Drosophila melanogaster: one gene and its partner. Changing the gene in region 2 together with the main gene of any one other region gives a genetic interaction. Each region holds a gene or a part of one and is shown on either strand. Other genes may lie near its edges.

Evidence for each region.
Region 1: of ro (region 2) and sens, changing one suppresses a phenotype caused by changing the other (phenotypic suppression), as found in Drosophila melanogaster (one study listed by BioGRID).

The regions. Positions count from the first base shown.
Region 1 is NT_037436.4:13,399,375-13,403,129, reverse strand, and holds the start of sens (senseless), read left to right. Parts: upstream 1-2,004; 5' UTR 2,005-2,222; coding exon 2,223-2,382; intron 2,383-2,663; coding exon 2,664-3,745; intron 3,746-3,755.
Region 2 is NT_033777.3:26,879,390-26,883,144, forward strand, and holds the start of ro (rough), read right to left. Parts: upstream 1,783-3,755; 5' UTR 1,717-1,782; coding exon 1,176-1,716; intron 1,071-1,175; exon of another isoform or gene 957-1,070; coding exon of another isoform or gene 696-956; intron 448-695; coding exon of another isoform or gene 205-447; exon of another isoform or gene 90-204; intron 1-89. Other genes in the region: CG5500 (uncharacterized protein), read left to right, coding at 205-447, 696-956.

The DNA.
Region 1 (3,755 bases), on a different chromosome or scaffold from region 2:
ATCAAACGATGATAGATGTGTGAGCGGCATACGGTGAATCCGTTACAAAGCGGCAGGGGATGAGCACGCGCCCTCAGTTCTCCAGATAAACAATATGTATGGGAACGCCGCCAAGCGCAACGATGCCACCAACTTGACTTGGCCAGCCCTCATCGCGGTCGAAATGGTAGAAGCCAGAGTTCCCCCATTTTGGCCCGCTTTTAGGCCGCGTGCCTCGTACCGCTTCGCTAGATCGGCGGCACCCGTGGCGGACACGAGTGCGATGGAATTTCGGTGTCGCCTCAACTCTGCACATGTCCTGCCATGGAAATTGCGCCAAAAACTAGGGGATGGGAACTAAAATTGCTGACAAGGAAAAGGATCGTTAAATGTGGAAGTGTAAGTGTGCGCCCGCCACATTTTCTTGGCTCGTTTTCTAGGCAGGTGTGGCCCGCGCCAAGGATAGATAAACTGGAATTGAGGCGGCCAAGACGAGGTGGCCAAGCGTGGCGAGCTACCAACTCAGGAGGAGGACCCCGAACTCTCATCAAGGATAAGCTCGGAAAAAGGTGCATCGAGCGGTAGAGGGAGAAAGTGGCAGGTGCTCAGTCGTCCTATCTGAGTGGTTTAATAGCTACGATCCAACGAGAAGATGGGGACTTTATGGCTTAGAGTTTGGTATTGGTTTTAAATTGACTGACAAAAGAATTCAGTCTTTTAATTTTATTGAAATGCTTTAGGAAAATACGACGAACTGCAAAGTTTGCATTGAGAAATTTAACAAAAACTTTGTTGAAAGTTAATGTTCTGAAACCAAACCAAACTATTTGTTAAAACGGTTTTAAATGGGAAATCTGATATTTTGATAGCTATTAAATAAAATCTGTCCTAATCTTATGTATTTAAATGTAACATTATTATAATCAAATATGTCATTTTGGTAAGGTAGATTTTATATAGAAATATAACAAAAAAAATTCTACAATAATTTAAATAAAGTTTATATATTTGTGCATTGGTTGTGAAGTAGGTTTACGTCAATCCTCTAAAATGTAATAACACTTTTTATGGATGAAGTCTAAAGCTTAAAGATTAAATTCACGATGTTGCTTTAAACTATTTACCCTTATTGGGAGAAGCGCAAATAAAAATGAATTTAAACTTAATTTCTCCTATATTTTACTCGCAATGTATTTTTAATAATTAATACAAAAATTAATTTTCATCACATTCAAAATTAGGAACCCATTTGTAATCCTTGTCAAATCTAAAGGTAATCTAAACAGTATCTACAAACATGGAGAGTTGCCACGACAGATGTTAGATCCTTGGATTCATCCACCTAAATATTTGTATGCTACCCCGCCCCATCCCGCCCTCGTCCTCTCCCCCCTTCCACCGATCAGCAGTGAAATCCTCTGCCGATTGCTGGCCCTCTCTCGCTTCTTCTCCCTTGGCCAAAGTACCGATCCCGATATTCCTGAGCCAACAACAGTTGGTGGCAGCAACAGAAAGAGCAAAGGCAATTGTAACTGTTACAGGGCAGCGGGAAAAGGATAACAAACGCCCGCCAAACTTTAAGTGCATACCAATTAGTAGGGAAACGCGTGCTGGAAAACCAGTAGTAGATGGGCCAAGAGGATACGAACGCAGGGGGTTGGGGTATCGAGATCGCCAGGGGACTCCTAACTGTGCGTCTTGACCCATACAACATGGAACACAGGACTGCAACTGCCGCCAACTGCTGCCAAAGGTGAAAAACCAGAGTTGGCAACACGAACACCAACACCAACAATACATTGCAGGGCTCTCGAGAGCCACCACCAAAAGAGTCAACACCAATACACCGAGGGCTCGTTTTGATTCGGCTTGCTGCCGCACTCACACAGTGCCACAAGTAACCACAGTCGCACACAAAAATAAAAAAAAGAGAGCTCGATTTGTACCTTTTTTTCGGGCCAAGTCGCTTCACCGTTGGCTCAATTTAGAACTGAGCCATCGACCAAAGATTCAGTCAGGTGCGAAGCACCGAGCGATACGGACGTGTTCGTCTCCAGTGAGTCAAGATAAAACCGCACTGAATAAGACCCATCGAAGATCCGTTCGAATCCAAGATCACAACGCCAAGAAAGTGAGATTTGTGCAGTGAACAGTATTGAGAAAAATCACAATCCAAAGACTGTTAAAGCAAATACGTAAATCAGATCCAGTGAGATTCCAAAAAGTAAAGATCCAGAATCAAAATGAATCACCTATCGCCGCCGCCATCGCCGCACTCCCAGCAGCCGAGTCCCGCGGGATTGGGCTGCCATGGAGCAGCTCTGGACAAGCAGTGGATGCAGCGGGCATCCGCCTTCAACACTGTGATAGCCTCCGCCGCAGCACAGAAACTCAATGGTCGAGGTGAGTTCCCGATCTGGATTGACAGAAAAATATATGGGGCAGTAAAGATAGCAAAAAGATTAGCTTATAGCTTTTTAATCGTTTCGAATTGTATTTAAAAGATCACTCGATTTAAAATCAAAATGTTAACACTTTCAACAGATCAGAAAAATTATGTTAACTTTACTGTAGTTCTTACCAATACAAGAGTAACTTTATATTGATAGGCATCCTGAGGATACTTTTCCTTCCTAATCTTAATCACTACTATTCAACTGATTCGTTAAATTTGCATTTCATAGATCTGCCCTTTTTGTACAACCCGCTGCTCTACTCGAGTGCCCTACTGTGGCCCCAATTTTTGTTGTCCTCGGCCACGGCTCTGGGTACACCACTGACCCCCATGACCCCCAAATCGCCCGCCTCTGTGGTTTTGGGTCAGCGGGATCGTGACTTTGCCTTGACGCCCGAAAAGGAGCATGAACTCCAAATGAACAATAACAATGAGAACAGCAAGCAGGACTATCAGGAGCAGGATGAGGATATGCCACTAAATCTAAGCACCAAGGAGCGCATCACATCGGATGATTCCAACCGAGATCAGTATCACAGCAGCAGCAACAACAGCAGCAGGAGCAGTTCCAGCAGTGAAGTGGAGCAACTGCATCCGATGACCTCGCTGAACGTTACCCCGCCTCCCCTGAGCGCTGTGAATCTAAAGAGTTCGAGTACACCACAGCAACAGCGCCAGAGATCGCAGGGTAACATCATCTGGTCACCGGCCTCGATGTGCGAGAGATCGGCGAGAAGGGAGCAGTACGGCCTGAAGATGGAGGAGCAGGGCGATGAGGAGGAGCACCAGGTGGATCCTATTGTGCGAAAGTTCAAGTATGAGCGCAGAACTGCATCCATATCCTCGCTGCAATCGCCGATCTCCTCGCTGTCCGCTCCCGCCTCGAATGCCGTCCAGGATCTGGAGTTCGAGGTGGCCCAACAGCAGTTGTATGCCCATCGCAGCGCATTCATGGCCGGATTGACGGGCAACAATCTGGAGCTGCTCACCCAGCACTTGAAGCTGAAGAGCGAGCAGCCGCAGCAGCAGCAGCAACAGCATCGCATCAAGGACGAGCAGCAGCAGGATAACCGCTCGGCAGCGGCACTCATGAATTTGGTGGCAGCCGCCGAATTCGGCTACATGCGTAATCAACACCAACAGCCGCAGCAGCAGCAGCAACAACAGTTGCATCACCAGCAGCAGCCGCAGCAACATCAGCATCAGCAGCAACATCCTGACTCGACGGCCACAGATGTTGCGCGTCGTTCGTCCTCCTCGTCATCTTACCAAGGAGAAAACGAAGAGAAGCGCAGCGGCAGGAATTTCCAGGTAAGCAAAC
Region 2 (3,755 bases):
CTCGGTGCGAAGATGTGGGGGATATTCAATATTGCAGCACTGACGATTAATCAGTTTTTTTTTGCGTATCCGACTTTTTTTTTTTGCAGTTCCTGCGGAACCAAGTTCATCTGGGCTGCACCTGCGCAGGCGTGTGAAATGCTCATCACTTCCTCTGGGCCTTTTCAATCGTAACTTTCGAACTCTTTCGGGGATCGGGCGGAAATGTTGGCTCCCCTGGGCTTCAGCTGTCCGCGATGCTTGCTCCTGCGACGTGGCGCCGAGCGTTGGGCCTCACTGGCCCGCCAATTGTCGGGCAGCAGCTCCCAGGATGATGCCAGCAGCAAGGATGCGGCCGCCCAGGAGGCAGCAAGTGGCTGTCCGCCCAATAGCACAACGACGGGCACTGACACTCCCAAAGCCAAAGATAAAACCACCAAGGGAAGGAAGCGGCTCAGAAACATAGAGGTAATGTTGTAAGCTAGTTGTTATCATTGCTATTATAGGTTAAATATCAGTTGGTAAGATTGTAGTTCATTAGAAAGAAAGGATCATCGATCTAGTATTGTAACACAAAACTTAGTGTAGTTCTATGAACTTCTAAAACTATTGAGCAGTATTATCGAAGGATCCAATTGTTATCACAATACTGAAATAACTTTCTATCCTAAGAGGAAAGTGGCTCAAGAGATTGCATATTATATAATCGTTTGCAGATACCTCCCGAGCCCACCACCTGCTGCATGTCGGGCTGCGCCAACTGCGTTTGGCTGGACTACGCACAGACGCTGGCCAAGCTGCTGGGCGACAACGATGAGGAGGCGCGAGAGATTGTGCTGAGCAAGATCACCGACCCGAACCTGAAGATGTTCCTCAGCCTGGAGCTGCGCCAGATGGCTAAGCAGCGGGAGGAGAAGGCGGCGGCGGAGAAAGCAGCGAAGCAGGGAAAGCCAAAGAAATCCTCGCCCCCGCCGTAGTACAAATCCCCGCTCACCTAAATATCTAGTTAGGACCAAATTCGTAGTAGCTCAAATTTACTCTTGTACTTAGTGTGTAAGAACTAAGAAACCTCAAAATAAACATGTAAGAGTTAAGGTTCTGAAGAAGTTATTTTCGTAGTTCTAAAGATTCTGCATAGCTTTGCAAATATTCTACACATTGTTAGAAACCATTCTTTTTTAAATGTAAGTACTCACGAAATGCGGAAAAGCCGGCGCTGAAGTGCGGGTCACTTGGGAAGCCGGCTGGGAATGCGTGTGGCAGGACAGGATTCGCAGCTCCACCGGCGGCAATTGCTGGCGGCGGGCTCACGTAGCTGAGTTTCTGGTGCACCAGCTGCGGCGGATGATGGTGATGATGATGATGCTGCTGGTGCTGCTGGCTAGGATGCTGCGGATAGTCCTTGGCGTGACCATAGAAATCGTAGGCGGGATATGCGGCTAGCGAGGTGCGTTCATCGCTGATGGAAATGTCTGGCGAGGAGACGCTTCCTCCATCGCTGTGATAGGGCGTGTCACAGGGCGGCGGCTTGTGGGCGTGTGTTCCGACGTCGATTTCCCCATTTTCCGAGGAGCGCGTTTCCAAATGCCCGTACAGACGTTCGAAAAACTGTCGCGGCGACGAGGGACGTTGCGGCACGGATAGAATCGTAGTGTTCGCTATGGGATCTAAGCTGTCACTCCTTTTGATGCCCGGCGAGCCGTCGGGTGAGCCAATCTCAACTTTGTGACGTTGCATTTCGTTTGAGGATGTGCCGCGTTAGCTGTCCAAACTAATCACTTGGGTAATCGGCGAGCGACTGAAGTGCCACAAATAATTCTACTTCCGCTGGTCAAGCGACGCTTATCCTGACGTCGACGTCGGCAGAGGAACTGGGTGAAAAAAAAAAACAAAGCAAATTACGCGGCACATCAGAAAATTAACAGCAGCAGCGGGGGCGCCTAAAATGCTGCTTACTAATAATAATAATAAAAAAAAAGGACCCCCTTCCCACTAAACACCTGAAGTGTGGCCTGAAACCCGGTTTGATTGGCTGAAGTGCCGTGCAATTAACCCCTAATTTTACTTCCGGCCAAAGTTTCACTTAAGGGTGGCAAGCAGTGTGCCTAAATAAGCTCCGCCCACTCTTAAGCAAGCAGTACTCACGTCTTCATACAAGCAGTGTGTGCGTACAGTCCCTGGTTTAGCCAAGTTTCTTACCTCGCCAGTGCTTTGCGAGGACAACAACCTTAAGAGCGAGATCCCTAGAGGTGGGCAATCAGCATTTGCTTCTTCAATGTATTTCATGCATTTTTCAAACTACCATAAACGGTCCGTCTAAATGGCAAAAAGTCTATATAAGCAACCGAATCGCGCCACTATCTGTAATTTTACATAGCGCGCGCGAGGGATCGAATCAAATCGAATCGAGTCGAGTCGAGTTCGTGGATTATATCAGCATGGATAATGTGTTCCCAAAACTTCGGTGCGTAAACGTGTGCTGTTTTGGGAAAGAAGTATCGATGAAGTGATAGTGATCGAAAGAACGAAAACAAAAACAAACGATTACGGTTATGTTGCCAATCCGTCTGCGCTGCGCAACCGATTTGCACGTACCGTTAGTTCGCGCAGCTGTCGCAGCCACCGAAAGTGCCAATAAAGAATAATAACAATAAACAAAGACCAACAAGTGGTGACGAAAATAAGAAAAAAAAAGGTACATCCCTTCGATTTTGGCCAATTTCGATTTTGTTTATCGAATTCCCATATCCCCTCAAACACCACAAAATGGGAGCAGTGCAAAACAAATAAAACCAGAAAAATTGCAGCGACTTTTGTTTGTTGTTTTCTGTCCGGATATTAATTGAATGGCTTTTATTTGGCCCCGGCGTGCATTTGTGTTTGTTTCTCTGACGGCTCTGAGCTGCGTTTGAGCAATGCAAAAATATTTTGTTAAAACTCGTTTCGTTTCGTTTAGAGCTTATTTGGCTTAAGCCCGCGAGTGTGTGTTTTTCAGTCGCCGACTTTTTTCCATCCATCAATTTCGGTTTTTTGTTACACTGACATATGCAAATTTTTTGAACATTTTTCGTGCGTTTTATTTTTTTGAGCTCAATTTATAAATACCTTCTGGTTGCACAGAAAAATGAAATTCAGACATGAACCTCGACTTAAAAAGTAATCAAACTGGATTGGAATCAATTGCAAAACAATCATATTTAATGAATTACAAACAGTAACCTTAAATTTATACATCAATACATCACATCATTGTGCTGAAAGACCTTAAAATAAATTTGCAAATATTTAAGCATAGTGTTTTGAGTCTTTAGAATGTTTGTATATTTTTTGTCGTGTGTAGAGCCTCTTCGGCATTTCCTCCTCCAGGCGATGTTTAATAAAGCGAAACCCACATGTTGTTCATTCTGTTTTCCATCCAAAAACAAACGAAAAAAAACAATAACATCAGCCTTTTCATTTCCATTGACATTTATGAGCGGCGCTAAGGGTGCACGCTGCCTCTCGCTCGCACGCAGAACTTCCTGCCTCTGGCCATCCCGCTTGCACATGCAGAGGCGTGGGCGGAGGCATTCGCGAGGGGCTTATTGTGGGATTTCTTTTGATTCCCTAATTCCCACCGCGGGATTTCTCGTGGGCTCGTTTTCATTATCCTGCGCATGCGCAGCATATTACGGGAAAATTGTTATGGAAATGAACGCGGACTTTTATGTTTGATTGATAGAAATGTCGCGTACTTACCAATTAACAGCGCAACAACAACGACTAACAGCTGTTGG